2 linked regions of the Coturnix japonica genome follow. The protein of the gene in region 1 binds, or shares a complex with, the protein of each later gene. Links are inferred from orthologs where the notes say so. Each region holds a gene or a part of one and is shown on either strand. Other genes may lie near its edges.

What was found.
Region 2: the proteins of POGLUT1 (region 1) and NOTCH1 are in contact, whole or in part, in a crystal structure (PDB 5UB5), measured with the Homo sapiens proteins. The link is inferred for Coturnix japonica from reciprocal best matches to the Homo sapiens genes POGLUT1 and NOTCH1. Residues at the interface, in NP_689518.1 of Homo sapiens: Met103, Phe104, Pro105, Ser106, Arg107, Asp133, Gly170, Pro171, Ala172, Val173, Trp174, Pro178, Thr179, Gly180, Thr214, Asn239, Gln240, Ala241, Val274; in NP_060087.3 of Homo sapiens: Asn454, Glu455, Cys456, Val457, Asn459, Pro460, Cys461, Gln462, Asn463, Asp464, Ala465, Cys467, Gly472, Glu473, Phe474, Val485, His486.

What each region holds. Positions count from the first base shown.
Region 1 is NC_029516.1:82,806,457-82,814,375, reverse strand, and holds the start of POGLUT1 (protein O-glucosyltransferase 1), read left to right. Parts: upstream 1-3,225; 5' UTR 3,226-3,352; coding exon 3,353-3,431; intron 3,432-3,563; exon of another isoform or gene 3,564-4,006; coding exon 4,007-4,097; intron 4,098-5,932; coding exon 5,933-6,076; intron 6,077-6,513; coding exon 6,514-6,649; intron 6,650-7,919. UniProt on the Homo sapiens protein: Dual specificity glycosyltransferase that catalyzes the transfer of glucose and xylose from UDP-glucose and UDP-xylose, respectively, to a serine residue found in the consensus sequence of C-X-S-X-P-C.
Region 2 is NC_029532.1:6,301,577-6,309,496, forward strand, and holds the start of NOTCH1 (neurogenic locus notch homolog protein 1), read left to right. Parts: upstream 1-3,207; 5' UTR 3,208-3,414; coding exon 3,415-3,472; intron 3,473-4,851; coding exon 4,852-4,933; intron 4,934-7,920. UniProt on the Homo sapiens protein: Functions as a receptor for membrane-bound ligands Jagged-1 (JAG1), Jagged-2 (JAG2) and Delta-1 (DLL1) to regulate cell-fate determination.

The sequences.
Region 1 (7,919 bases):
ATTCAATTTGCAAGTTATACAACTCCGGCTAAAGAAAGAGGCATTCTGTTTGCAGCAAGGTGTTTTCCAGATCCCCACTGGCAATGGCAAAAAGTGATTTACGATCAGCTTTAGTTAACGTGGCCTCTCAAACAGGTCTTAAAAAGCCTTCGCAGCCATGGCCTAGTGCCAAAGCCTTTTCCACAAGAATACATCAATTTTAGTTCATACCGGTGCCATACGATGCAACGGCAAAGGCAAATGGTGCAATATTGAATGCATCCCCTCGATGAAGCAAGAGATCCAGCACCTGCTGAATCTACCAGATTTACCATTATGGGTCTGTACATCTTCTTGTTGGCTGTTCACGCAAGGATGACTTAATCCCTTGGCTAGCTGAGGGCTGAGTTAATGATTCCCTTTTCTGGCAGATTCTGTGTGTCATCAGGACTGAACTCTGGGTTCTCCTGCACTTGTTTTGCCCAACCCAATTCAGTAGTTCCAAGTGCCCTATAGAACTGCAAGAGCATTTTTCAGTCTTAGGTTGAAGACTCCAGCCTTTACTGGCTCTCACTCTGGCATGCTTCTCACGCTGTGCTCCAACTGCTGTAATTAGCCTCCTTTGCATAAAGCAACAGAATATTCAATAGCAAACATCCCCAAGCCAGGTACTGCAGATGCAACCAAATTTCCTGAACCATACCAATGAGAGTCCAACATCTCCACGAGGTGTAGTGTTAGAGGACACAGCTTAGAGCCAGAGCAAAAATAAGCTTCATGAGTAGCTTCCTAAAAGCCATGTCCCTTACTAAGGGAAAGCTTGGGCCCAGCCCCGCAAGCATCAACATCAACCACAAGTGTTGAACCTCAGCCACCTGTAGAGGTGGCTTCCTTCCTCCCTTCCAGTCCATTACTCAATGAATTCACAAAACCCAGTACTTTCATTTAGCATAAAAGGATGAACTAAGGGAGAAAGTCCCCTACCAGAACCCTTACACAAGCAAAAAGTAGCAAGAAGAGCCAGATTATAGCTCTGAGAGAAATTCAAGATCTAGAAAACATTTTCTTTAGATCAACCTTATAACCAGCTTAGAGAACTATTCCTTTCCCAAGCAGCCTTCTTTTAACCTATGCTGAATATGTAAAGCAAGGACACCAGAATTACAGCCAAGTGGTTTTCCACTCCAGGCACATGGAACATGATGAAAGTAAATTTGTGGGTGTTTGCACTTGATTTGGCAGAGAAAAACTGAGGGAGGGAATGTGATTGAGGGAAGGTATCAAAGATCAGAGCCAGATGCTCCTTCTCAGAGCTCTGGACTTGTAGGAAATTAAGAAGGTAGAGAAGGTGAGGCAAAGGGTGTGTTTGAAGTGAGAGTCGAGGGGTTCTAAGGTCTACAACCATCCAAGGTGCTTGGGGGAAACTACAGCACATGCCAAAACCACACCATATTGGCCTGAGGTGCTTTCATTACACAAAGCCTGGGAGAGCAGAGACCGTAAATGTAGCTTCAAAAGGAGCTTCATCTTGAAGTCTTAGCTCTCAGGGCCTATTAAACATTTATGTTGACTACCACTCCTACTCTTTGCCTCAGAGAAAGCACCCGAAATAACCTTTGCTACAGAGCAAACTACAACAGTTCTACCAGCTGTGGAACAGACTAGTGGGGAGCTGTGAGAAACAGCCAGAAACAGTGTTGGAACAACAATGCTAATGACTCTATTCAGCAAGCTAGGACAGAAGGAAGAAAATACGACAGGTTTTCTTTAAGCTATCTTCTGTTCACACTTTTTGGGGAATCTTCAGACTAGCCTCTAGTATGGATGTTTGATAACCACAGCTCTAGAAGGGTCAGTGGAAGAAAATGGAAGGAGATTCTGCACAAAAAGACAGAAAGTTTCTGGCATAATCTGGAAAGAAGTAATTACTTCCCTGATTTGCTCAAAAATTCTTTGCCTGGACAACATGAGTTTGGGATGAGGCACAGCTACTCATTCTTTTCATTCTATGAAGCTGTTACTACCAGTAACAGAAACCGCGTAATTCACTCACTCCTCTGTAGTTCAGTCAGAGGACAACTCCAGCTGTACATTCAGAAGGCTGTGCTGACCCTAGCAGCTTCAAAGTCGGTGTTCAAAAAGCCCTTCAAGGTAATTTATTTCAAGGGTTGCACATATACACCTCTAGTCTTTGTACGTGGGAACCCCTGCCCTCCAGTCACAAAATCTACTCCTGATATTAGCATCTACTTCTGGCCTTCCACAGATTCAGCCTACGCATAGCACCCAAGTTTATCAGCTCGATTACATTCAGAAGAACTACTATCCTCCACAATTTTCAACCCTTAGGAAACCCTCACACTCTTCCTCAGCATGTGCTTTTCACCATTGGCCTGCTGTTAAGTAACTATTTCTTTAGTATAACCTACAGGTACCTACAGCCCTTACAGTCTCATGCAGATGAGGCCTTTGTAAGTTTAGGTGTTGGCTCCTGTGGCTAATCACTCAGCCTTTATGCTATAGATACCAGTTTAATTTAAATGTAAGTATACAATTGCTTGAGATGGAACAAACCTTAAAGGCCACACAGTCCAACTTCCCCTGCAATGAACAGGGGCACCGCAGCTCCATCAGGTGCTCTGAGCCCTGTCCAGCCTGACTTTGGGTGTCTCCAGAGATGGGGCACCCACCACCTCTCTGGGCAACCTGTTACAGTGCCTCACTGTTGTTACTGTAATAAACATCTTCCTGGTATCCAGTCTAAATCTTTTTGTTTGAAACCATTTCCCCTTGTCCTAACAGCAAAAGCCCTATTAAATAGCCTGTCCCCTTCCTTCTTACAGTCTACCTTTAGACGTTGAAAGGCTGCTCTCAGGTCTCCCCGCAGCCTTCTCTTCTTGAGGCTGAACAGCCCCAGGTCTCAGCCTGCCCTCATAGGGGAGGGGCTCCATCCCTGGGACCCTCTTTGTGGCTCTGCCCTGGATTCGCTCCAGTAGGTCCATGACTCTCAATGTAACGGCTCCTCCCCACGGCAGTGAGGCCACAGCACCTCTCCCTGGGATCCAAGAGCAGCAAAAGCAGATCTGGACTAGGAAAGACAGCTTAAGACCACATATATACACAGATCCCATGAAGAGCAGGCGGGCTGTTCCACACTCTACCTTAAGAAGATCAAATTCATACAGGAATCAAATTCATACAGGACAGCGTTTGCTTACACCCAACCTTTCTAGAGGTGCAGCGGCGGGAACTACAGCTCCCATCCATCCGCTCAGCAGCACGCACCCCTCCCCTCCCGCCGCCATCTTTGCGGGGCCGCCATCTTTGCTCAGGGAGTCACCGCCCCCCGGCGGCCAGGCGCGCAGGCAGCAGCATGGAGCGGGCGGCGCTGTGGGGGCTGCTGGCCGCCGTTGCTGTGTGGCCTTCGGGAGCGGCGGATGGTGGGTCAGAAGGTGAGTGAAAGAGACGGGCCGTGGGGAACACCACGGGGAAGAGAGCGGCTCTCCCTAGTTGCCTTTTATAGGGCGGCCCAGCACATGTAGGAAGGAGGGGCTGCCAGGCCCAGCCCTCCCCTCAGTCCTCACCTGGGTGTCCCGGCGGTGCTTTCATCACTTAACTGTAGCAATAGAGTCATTTCAGAGATAAAGTCCATGCAGTTCCTTGTAGTTACATAGCGGGATGCAACTAGTGCAGTGCAACAGTTGTGGTTCTCTAATGTGCGCTCAGGGAGCCCGGTTTGGTTTAACAGCCTGCAGGCAGCAAGGCTGTGCTAAAGGAACCGATGTCACTGCTCAGTAGGCAGCGTCAGTGGAGCAGTTATGGGTTGAAGGGTCAGGGTTCTGTCAGCAGGGGAATGGTCAGTGTCAGCCGTGCTCTAGTTCAGCTGTGTGGGCTGAAGTGTGTCCCAGGATCGTGGTGCGTCGCTATTGCCCTGCTGCCAGCTGGAGAAGTGCTGCTCAGCTTCTGCTGATTGCTCTGGTTGTTTAATGAATTAATGCCTTTCACTTTTCCTTTCTGTGTATTTTAGATGCCAAATGGAAAGCAATAACAGATCAAATTAACAGAGCTGTAGAAGTCTATAAGCCATGCGTAAAGGAGAATTGTAGCTGCTACCAAAGGTAAGAGATTAGTTTCCTTTTTACTGAACAGGGCTATGGTCATGATCACAGCACTGATAGATGGGAGTTAGCTGTAGAATATGTGTGCTCTAATGTAGCACATCTGCAGCCAACATAGGTTGCAGTGCTTACAAGGAGTTTATTAATGGCATTGTGTGAAACTTTCATAGTTCCAGCATGAGTTGTGTCCACCTGCAGATTGACCACCGTGCTTGTTGTCCTCTGTGACTGAACAACATAAACTGAGTCAGCATCTCATACGTAATCACACAATAATTCCATACACAGCTGGTGATATTTCTGTATTAGAAATCCACTCTGCATTCACCCTCTGTACAATATTTGTTGCTAACAGGTTTATCTGATGGACTTTTAAAACTGAGGGAAATAAATATATGTAAATATTTAAAAGAGGATTAAGAAGGATAATTACAGAACATGGATTTATTTGGCATGATGCTATGTGGTACTTGCTAACTTGTGGAACACTTGTATACCATAGTGACAGACATTACTAAAGAGTCCAGAAAGATAATACAGTACCTACACTGTATGACACTAAGAAACTCAGCTCATTTTGATAGCTGATCTGGAGAGATGCAAATGTGCAGCAGAATAGTGAAAGCCAGTCCCTTTCCTTAGATAATGGATTTTACTTGTGTCAGATTTTCTCTGGGTGGCCAAGAACTGAAAATTCTAGCCTGTTATTGACAATAGAAAGGTAGCAAACAGCAACGTGGATGCGCTATAAAACTCTTTCTTCCCGTTCTCCAGCTTGTTACATTTGCATCCCTGCTTATATACTTTGTCAACCTATCTGTACTGTAGCAATTCTTGATGTAGTTTACATTTTTCTGTCTGATACAGAATAACAGAATCATTGACCTCGGAGGGGACCTTTTGAGATCAAGAAATCCAACCTCCCTGTTCAAGCAGGGCCACCTAAAGCAAATGGACAGGATGGTGTCCAGTCAGACCAGAGACCCCACTACTTCTCTGGGCAGTCTGTGCCAGTGTTTTATCACTCACACATTTGGTTCATCCCCTTCAGATGGGTCTGTGCATTAAACCAGGCCATTGATGCAATGTCTACTAAAAAGTAGAGGGGAACTCTCCATGGCTGTTACCGTCTGAGAACAATTGTTAACTGCTCCAAGCAGTTGGATCTGGGGGTCTTTAGACTATATATAAACTGCATTCTCTGTCTGTATTTTAACATATCGGTTAGGTTTATGTTTTCTATTTTCTATTTCTACTATATTCTAGGAGCTCACCAATGACATGCAGATATCACAGAATACAGTCTATATAGGCTTGTTCTCCTGGACTAGCTTTTACTGTATGCAGCATTACCCAGTAATCCTTGTGACTAGACTGTTACTTACTTTTTTTATAAATTTTAAAATTGACATTTAGTGAGGAATTTGGTCTTGGTGTAGCCCACCATTATTGGAAATCCAGAACACAAGCTTCAGAACTCAAAGTTTAAGTGAACTGAAAGCTTTTATCCATAACCTGTCAGGGTGTTTAATGCCTATTTGTTTTTTGGAAGAATAACTGCAGTGAACCACATTGATTTAGTTTGAGAGTCCGGTGCTGGGTTTTCTGTTCAGGCAAACAGCACATAGATCATCACAGAGCAAAGCTGGGACTTTGGAGTCTCAGAGTAGTGGCTGTTTCAGTTGACTTAAGTTGAATCCTCTGTTATGCCATGTGTAGCAGAGCTGGAAGCCACATAAAGTTTGTTGTAACTAGAAACCTTTTCTGTATGCTGCAGTACTTTAATGTGCAGCATCCCCCAATGTACCTAATGATGGCTAATTGTTTTGTTTCAGTGTCTGGAAACAGGACCTGGCTCCTTTTCGAAGTGGCATTTCCAAGGAGACAATATCAGATGTGGTAAGCCGGAAGCTTGGAACACACTACCAAATCATTAAGAACAAGCTGTACCGTGAACATGACTGCATGTTCCCTGCAAGGTAAGAGCCACACAGAAGATCCTGCTTCCATACCTGGCACATAGGAATACTTCCAGTACTTCTAACCCTGATGAATTGGAAGTCATTGAGCACAATGGTATGTCATTTTAAGGTCTGGATTCCTTATCAGGACAGGAGCCTAGGAAATTATATATGAGGATTAAACATAGGCAAGAAATAAGAATCACTGTTGCACTTCTGTATAAGAAGGCTAGTTGATTGTGGGATCCCAGAGAAATATGCAGATCAAGTCAGGTTTAACAGAATGTGTTGCTTCACTGGTGTCTGCAGTGAGACTTAAAGGCTGCTATGGGCAGTTGCAGCCTGTGCTACGGCTTTCTGTTTCTTCTGCTCCTATGCATAGAGATATCTGCAACATACTCCAGGATTCTTCCTTATCCTTATGGCTCTTTATGAGATGTGTCATTTCTCCACAGATGCAGTGGAGTTGAGCATTTCATTCATGGGATCATCAACCGCCTCCCTGATATGGAAATGGTGATAAACGTGAGAGACTACCCCCAGGTCCCCAAGTGGATGAAACCCATTATCCCAGTCTTCTCTTTCAGTAAGGTATGCACACTTTTAAAAGCATTTCTGAAACGTGCATGTCCTCCTTTCTCTTGCTGACATATGTTTGAGGATGGTTCCCCACAGCTTTCCTGTGTGTCAAAACTGTTCTTTTTTCTTCTTTCTACTTCAATTTTTCTAGTAGACAGACTTGCAGATTCATTTAATAGAACAGCTTTTCTCCTCATTAGCTCCTCTTCCAAGTCAAAAAGAGTACCTCTACCACAGTGGAATGATGCACAGCTGGATGGGATATGTGCCAATATCACTGTGATGTGCTACAATGCCTCTGTTAAAATTGCAGCCATAGCTTGTCAGCACTGTTAAGGATTTTTCATCATCAGCCAGCTCAGTCAATATGAATATTTCAGTTCTCTGTTTCGTACCACAGATAAGTGTTTCTTTTTTTTTTTCCCCGTATTAACATTGTCTAGTTGGAATAATACAAGTCTATAGATGTAATTAAAGAGTAAATAGCCAGAGGGTATCTAAGAAAAAGACTCACCAGTGCTGAGGTTTTCAGTTGAGATGGATGCTCACCAATGTTGAGGCTCACCACAAGAACTCCAGAAAGAGATGCTACCTTAGTGGTGGTCAGCCCTTAAATGGGATCTAGGAGAGGTGGAGTCAAGCTCCACCCCATCCGGGAGCACAGCTGAATTACCTTCACCTGTGCTCCCACAGCTGAGTCGTCACTTGCCTCAGATGGTTAATCAGAGGTTCAGACTGTGATCAACAGTTTCCCTTACAAACGCTGTCTACTGTGAACCCCTTTCCTGTGGATTCTTCTTTCCATTTCCAAATGTGCACACACATGGAGCCAGACACACACACACATTTGCTTTCTGGTTCCCTGTTCTCACACTGGAAAGCCCCCTTGCACATTTTCTTGCTTTTCCATTGTTAAATCTAATTGTAGGATAGTGTCTTATCATTGCCAATGAAATACCCTTACAACTCTAGCTTCATGAAATCCTGCTGTGCTTTAGTATATGCCTAGTATGCCCAAATTCTACAGTCCTGATCATGACCCTGTACTTGGCTGAAGCTCAGCAGACCATAAGATGCAAAAAGAAGCAATAAATAATTTGTTCTTGCTTGCTCAGGCCCTGTTCTGTTTCTGCTAAATTACTCTAAACCCAGGTATTCGCCTGAACTCTAATATGATTTGTAACCTTTGCCTAATCCCCAGGCATCCTAAAACTATCTCTAGAATTTCAGTGCAGCATTGCAAGGACTAATATTCAAGCGCTTGGTTTGTTGTTGTGTCCCA
Region 2 (7,920 bases), on another chromosome or scaffold:
TTTTGAGGGGGAAAAAAAGCAACACAAAACCAACCAGATCGGGCTTTATCCCATTCTTGCAAACCCTCCTTTCTCCAGATCCCCAGGGAACTTCAGCATAATCCCACTGTGGGGCAGCTTGGGTTTTACACATCACCATCCCTACAACCGGCATCTTTCTCTTCCAGCACTGAGGGTCGATGTACCCACTTCCATTCACACCTCATTCCTAACATTGCTCTCCTTGTCCCCAAGGACAGCAGAGCTCCCCAACCCCTGCACAGTGCAGGGCCCCTTCTGCCACCCCCCCTCCATGTGCTCTACATTGAGCACAGAAGCAAATACATCCACAGTGACAATAAAGAGATCCAAGCACCACGGAGGATCCCTCACACCTCTTACGGGGCAGTCGGCAGCGTGTTGGTTGTGTTTAACAGGCATTTGCCATTAAAAAAAACGCCTGTTTTTATTTAAATAGCCCCGGGCACATTTCTCACTAAACCAACTTTCCCACGCCAGCCCAGCTTCTCTAACTCTGCTTTTTGGCAATAGTTTTTTTTTCTCTCCCTGAGCTGTCAAGGCAAAATATATATATATATATATATAAGAAAGGCTGCTCTCGCTCGGGGTTTGTTTTTTCCAGCCCCTGGAGACATGAAAATGATGTACAGATGTGCGTTACCTGTTGGTGTTTGCACGCCGTTTTTGCTCTGTGGATGTAATTTTCTTAGCTTGCAGTAACATAAAAAAAAAGAAGAAGAAAAGAATCTTCCCAGAGTTTCGCTCGTTTAATTTGGACTTATTAAAACTTTGAAACATGTGCGGAGGTTTCGGGTTATTTTTTTTTTACATCACTAATCACATGGATGAGAGCCAAGGTTTCTATTAAAGGCTTTTATGAACGTTGGTTTTAAAAGGCACTGAAACCCCCCTGTTGCATTTAACCCCTAAAACTGCTCCAACTGAGACTTGCTCTGGGTTGATGTCACATCCACCTCCCAGTGCAAAAATAGGTGTGTGGGGTTCTGCCTCCTTCCTTCATCCTTCTTTCCTCTCTGCTGCAGGAGTCCCTGCAGGAGCGGTGGGTTGGCAATGGGGCAGCACAGAGATGGCTCAGGGTGCAGCTGGAGCTGGCACAGAAAGGCACCAGGGCCACAAAACTGCATGTATTCAGACTGGGTCTGAATGCTCTGGGTCTGCACTGGGCAGCTTGGGATGATGGCCTGGGTTGGGTCCTGTCCTGTGCCATCACCCCAAGGCACCCGGTGCTGCCACTCCATCCATGCACAGAGGCCAGTGCCACCTCCCCACTGTTCCCAGTTTGGCACATGGCACAGTGGGGACCACAGTGGCCACCTGCCCGTGGGCATTTCTGTATATGTAAGGAATGAAGCACAGCACAGTGAGAGGTTCTGTGTGAGGAGAACAAGCCCGGGCAAAGCAAGGTTAGTGCAGCAGGAGGGAGAAAGGGGTGAGATGGGGGAGCAGGGCACAGATCCCCATCACCAAAGGGTGGTGGAACCTCCAGGGGCCACTTCACATCACCAATGGAATTGGCACAGTCTGTTGGCACAGAGATATCGCTTGGCTAGAGCAGGGGTAAGGGCTGCATCCCACTGCACAGCCACTGCAGGGGGTGAGATGGGGGCACCCACTTCCCAAAGGTGCAAAAGGTCTGTGCAGGTGGGCACTACAGCAAATTCCTGCACTGTTTGGCATCTGCTTACCCTGCCCCCGTCCTGCAGCAGTGCAGCAAAGCAAAATGCGTGGCCCTGGGACGCTCTGAAGTCCTACACAGCTCCCAGCATCATCACCCAGCCCCCATGGCCCCACACACCCCCCCACAGCCCCCAGTGGGCACCCCAGAGCCCGGCCTGTTCTCATGTGGGAAGAAGGGGAAGGAGCAGAACGAGGGAACGCTGCAGGGCTTGTGGCTTTGATCTAATGAGCAGACTCTGCCCTTCGGTTTGTTTAATCGTTTCACACTTGCTCTGGAAATAATTTACAGCAGGAAGCAGTGGGATAACACCATGGCATGGGCTGGGATGAACACAGTGCTGGCGTGGGGGTGCCCTTCAATAGGGGAGGAGAGAGGGGGGGCACAGGTGGGACAGCACCTCACCATCAGCCCAGCACCGACCCCTCTGCTTCTTCTTCTTCTAGTACTTGGCGTCCCACACATCCCCACACACAAACAGGAGTTTCAAGCCTCGATTCTGGTTGCTCAAGTCAAAGCCTGGTTCCAATTTGCTGCCACTGCTGAGATGCGATGGGAATCATGCACACTGCATGGGGTGACCCCGTGGGGGGGAGCAGTGCTGGCAGCACAGGGGGCTGCCCCCAGGCCCAGAACGCAATTGGGTTTTGGGTGGGACGTGCCCATACTCCCATCCTGAAGGATCCAGGGCAGTGTTGGATGCTGGAGGTGGGGGCAATGGGACCTGCACACAGACCGGAGCTCATAGGGCTGCATGGCAGGGTTGGCTGCTCGTCTCCCCTCGTGCATTTGTTTGTTTGTTTGCTGCTGCAGCACATGGGCTGGGCTCTGCCCTGAGTGCAGGAGCTCACAGGGCAACACAGCAGCACCCCTGCACTGGGTCAGTGGTGTGGTGCACTGTGTTGGGGGGAATCTCACCCCAGTTGGGGTCCTGAGCAGCAGCTGCGACCCACTGGGCAGGGGGGGCTGAACCAGAGCTGTAGGGAGTTGTGTAAGGGCCTGGGATGGGGCTGCACAGGGGTGGGGGGCTCTACTGGGACTGAGGGGATGGGTTGCACCGGGGGTATGCAGGGACTGCATGGGGGGAGCTACATGGTCGCTGCACTAGGGTGTCTGGGGCTGCTTGGAGAGCCCGAAGCTGTTTGGGGTCTATACAGGAGTTACACGGAGGGGCTGTATAGCGGGTCCAGGGCTGATTGTGAGGGGTACACGGAGGGGCTCCATAAGTGTGTCAGAGCTGCACCGGGACTACCCAGGGGCTGCAAAGCAGCGCTCGGAGCTGCAAGGAGCCATGGATGTGTATACAGAACTATCCGGGACCGCACCGGAGCCGCGGGGACGACCGCACTGCAGCGTCCGGAGCTGCTTTGTGGCCGTGGGGAGGGTGGGCTCAGGGTGGGCTCCCAGCGCTGCCCCCCACGCCGTGCAGGGAGGGGCGTCCCGCTCCGTCCCATCCCGCTCCGCTCCTCGCCGTCCCGCCCCGCTCCGTCCCGCCCCCCCTCCGCCCTCCGCCCGGCCCGGCCCGGCCCGCGGGGGCTGAGCGGCCGCGGGAGGCGCCGGCGCTCGGAGTCGTTTCTCTCGGCGTTTGGGGCGCGGTGTGTTCGGGGCTCCCGGCTCGCGCCGCACGGCTCCGGTTCCGTTCGGTTCCGCTCGGTTCGAGCCGGTTCGGCCGGCGGCCTCCGGATCTATGCGGCTGTGAGCGGTGGGAACACAGAGGGATGAAACGGCTCTTGGCCACCGGGCTCCTGCTGGCCCTGCTGCCCGCTCCGACGCGAGGTGAGGGCCCCGGCCCGGCTCCGGCACGAAGTTTGCCGGCAGCTCGGCTCGGAGCGGCGGGGCGAGGCGGTGCTTCCATCGGAGGCGGCGGGGGGTCCGAGGGAAGCGGAGCGTGGAGCCGCCGGGAGGGTCCGGAACTCGGGAGTGCAGCGGGGGGAGCGGAGCGGGCTGAGAAACGGGGACGGAACTTTGGAGTTCGGCACCGCGGGGCCCGGGCGGCCGGAACCGACGGGGGGGAACCGGGATCGGTGCAGCGGGGATTCCGCGGGGAGCGGAGCCGTCGGGGCTGCGGGCGGGCAGAGCTACCGGTACCGCTCGGGGTCGCGGTACCGGCCGTCGGGGGTGCCCAGAACTCGGTGTTAAGGGCGGTGGGGGTCGCGGTGTTCGGTTCTGAGGGTTGTGAGGGGTCTCGGAGCTCGGTACTGAGCACTGCGGGGGTGTCCCTGTGCTCGGCCCCGAGTGCTGTGTGTGTCCCGGAGCTCGGGACGGGGTTCGGCTCCACGGAGTCTCACGCATTGGCCGCTCTCGTGTTGTTGTTCCGCGAGAGTTTTTTGACCGTTTTGCAAATTTTTTCTCGGTTTCCTGTTTCTTGAAAGTCAACCGGGTGCCCCTCGGCCCCCCTTCCTTAACTCCCCCCCCCCCCTCCCCCCCCCCCCCCCCCCTTCCCTCCCTCCACCTCCTCCCCGGCATCGGCCCCGGGGCGGATCCGTGTGCGGGGCCGCAACGTGCGGAGCTGCCGTCGGGGCCGGAGGGGGGAGGTGGGCAGTGGAGCCGCCCCGACGGACCGAGTAGAGCTGGAGCCTCTCGGGACGCTGTTTGTAGGGGCAGAACGCGGCCCGTCCGCCGGGGCTGATGGGGACGCTCCGCTGCCGTCGGGGGGAGGTGGGGTTTGGGTTGCGACGCTGCGTTCACTCAGTGTGAAACTGCTTTGACTGCACCGAGAGCGGCAGAAGAAGGGGAAGAGTGAAGCGGGGTGGAAATCGGAAGCGATTCTAGTACTTTTCAGCGAGTTGCTGTAGTAACTGAGCAGAATCCGGCTCCGAGGGCCAGACAATGAAACCTTTACTCATAGCAAGTTGTGCCGAGCGACTCATTTCGGGACTGAGCTCGTGGCGACCCACGGGCCCTGCAGGCAGATGGTTTTTCCCAAGTGCTATTTGTCACTCAAATACCCGACCCGGAGCTTCTCCCCATCCACCCTCCTGCTTTAACAGGCAGAGCCCACCCCCAGGACCACCCCAGGTTAACTTTAGGTCGCCCCTTTCCTCTTGGGGCAGTGTAGTCCTGCCCATTAACGTGGTCCCTGTGAGGCCATCCCTGCAGTGGGGTGCAGACCCCCGGGCTCTGTGCTGTGCCTGATGCTCTCCTTCTATTCACAGGTGTGCGGTGTACACAACTGGCTGAATCCTGCCTCAACGGGGGCAAGTGTGAAACTTTCCTCAATGGGACGGAGGTGTGCCAGTAAGTATGGAGGAGCAGAAGGATTTCCATCTCCCTCAGCCGAAGCATTGACGTGCCTGTTGACTTTGCTTTGAAGGCTTTGGATTTAATAGGGCGAAATGCGTTTTCTTTCCTTGAGTGGCAAGAATAACCTGCTCCGGTGTAGGAGTCGCCGCGGGTTTGGCAGGATCAGGCTTTGTTCCTGGCTGGGTGGAAAAACATGGGCAGAGGGCCACGTTTGGCTGGTGTTAACCCATCAGAGTGCCCCACTGATGGAGCAGGAGGGAGGGACAACGGGGGGTGGGAGGGCTGTCTGTCTATCTTCCAACCCCCCCCCCCCTTCCTGGCCCCATTGCGTTGTCCTTCATTCCCTGGCAGCTGGTGCTGCAGTATCCAGGGCATCTCCCATAAGCATCCAAGGGTGGCTGTGTTGTGTGGGTGTCTGTCTGTGGGGCAGTGCCACGCTGCCATCCGTGCCCACTCCTGGCATGGGGTGTTCTCAAGGCTGATGGTGGGGAAGCGGATGTGTAAAGCCTTGGGTCCCTTTGAAGGACCACCCGACCCACCGCAGCGATGGCCGATTCAGTCTGGGCTCCCAGGGAACAATAACCCAGAGAAATGAATAAGAGTGCAGTTCCCTTTTTAAAACTATTCCATAAAAGAAATCTGAATGGGCAAGGCTCTGCTTTCCGGCCAGATTTCCCCTTTGCCTGTTAAACACGGGTTGAGCTGAGAGCGGGCTGGGAGACGTTCCCACCCACCCCAAGTTTCCCAATAGGAAGTTCTCGGCGGAGGAACCCAAAGGCATTTCCAACCCCGACCTGTTGAATGGCACTTCTCCTTGACAATGCCTGCTGCTTTTCTGTGCCTCTGGGTACCGTTACTCTGCCCGCAGCGCCTGGGCAGCCCCCACCCCCCTCCTCCAAACGGAGCCCCCCAAAGCCTTTGGTGAAAATAAATCAGCAAATCAATCAGGCACATGAGCAATTTAATGGACAAAGGCTGGGTCCCTTTGTGAGCCACTAATGAATGCACGCCACTTTTTTTTCTGCACAGAAGCCCTTACCAACGCGTGACGCTCTAAATCTTGTTTTCTTTCATTCAAAGAACGACAGCTGGGATTCGGTCGAAATTCGGCAGCTATTGTTAAGGGAGGCAGATTAATGCTGTGTGACTAATCATGTATGGCTTCCCAGAATGCCCAACCCTCCGCCCCCTCCCCAACCTTACACCCCTCCTTTTCCTTGTGGTCATTCTTTCCTTCTTTTTTTTTCTTCCCCCCCCCCCCTTAAGTCTCTGCAACTCCTGATTTACATTTCATGTGCAGATGGTGATGGAATCTAATTAGGTCTGATGCGTGCGAGCTCCGTTTTGGGGGTGAAGCCTCCAGAGTAGCTCGGGTTGCTGGGTTTACAGGAGATAAAGTTAACTTTGGGGAATTCTATCACTGGGAACTATGAACAGCCTGGCTGCGGGCACCAGCTTTGCAAGTCTATGTGAGCTCATTTTGCAGTAAGCTGAGGGGTTGGATGGGGGGGATATTAAGGACGCTGGGCAAGGTGCAGCTTTCCCAGGTGCCCAGCAGCAGCCTGCAAAGTGCTCTTTTCCACTTGTTTGAGTATCTCTTCACCAGGAGCTCCGCTTCCAAGCTCCTCAAACAAAGCGAAGCCAGCGGCGCAGATAGCACTGCAGGAAGGCTGGCACTGCCCCTGGCGCCGGCATGCAATGCCCTGTGCTGGCTGCTGGCCACCTCTCTGCTCGGCCTGGCACTTCACTGACTCCATCCATAAAGCCCCATTGTGCCGTCCCCACAAATCCAATTAGAAAGCAGAGTGAAATGAATCGCGGCCGAGCGGGACGCTGCTCGAGTGGCTGCGCGGGGCAGAGCCGGCTCTGATAACTGCACACCCCCATTATCAGCCCTGTTATGGAAAGGAAACCACCAGTGTGCAGTGAGGAGCACTCTAAGCCTTTATTATTTCCCAGTGGTGTGGGGTGTGCAGCTCCCAGTGCCTTATCTTGCTTGTCCTGGCTGGGATGTGGGGCTCCCACTGATTTGAGCACTGCAGGGCTGTGCCTGAGCCCCTTAGAGCTGCCTTCCCCCCCTTGGCAGAGCAGTGGTGCAGTTTTGGGGTGCCTCACCCCACACATAGCATTGGCACAGACCCACAGCCTCCAGGGGTCTGGCCTTGGGGATGGGCTTGGCAGCCACAGTGCTCCCAGCGTGGTTTTGTGGTGCTGCTTGGCACGGTTGCACTCTCCTCTGACTGAGACGTTTTCCCAGACAAAATGAGAAGGGATTCCAAAACGAAATCATCCACATTTATAGCGGTAACTACTAATTACACTGCTGGATCACTGTCTCTGCCCGGCATCCCCACAATGAATGGGGCTGATTTTAGGCTGCTGTGCCACATGAGTGTCGTTCCCAGGGCCTCCCTTGCTGCAGCAGGTAGAAGCAGTTGGCATGGGAGGGGGCTGCCTTTCCAGCCCTGCCCCTGCAGCATCACTTCCCACTTGCTTTATCCTGCAAGCATTGCCCTGTTCAAGTCAGCAGAGGGTCTGGGTCAGCACTGCTGTTCAGAGGAGCAAAACTGCGGAGGAAAAGAGTAAGAGAGTAAGAGTAAGTAAGAGAGTAAGAGTAAGTAAGTTGCTTGCACTGGAAAAGGAGAAAAATGGGTTTGCCAGAGAGCTGCTTCTGCTGGCAGAGATTGTGCTGGGCACACTGAGTGCAGCAAGAGAAGCACTCAGAGAGGACCACAGCAGCAAGAGATGACTTACTGAGCTCTGAACCCTCACTGCAACCACGCAGGAAGGCTGAGGAGTGATGCAAACCCCGCAGCACGCTGTGCCCTCCGAGTCACTGACTGCTCAGTCATTGTTATCTCACTGCAAAGGGCGGAAGTTTCCTTCTGCTTTGGGGTTGGTTTTTTTTTCATTGGGGTTTTTGTGTTGTTTTTTTTTTTCTCTTTCGTGTGCTTTAAAACCCGACGTTATTTCCATGAAAT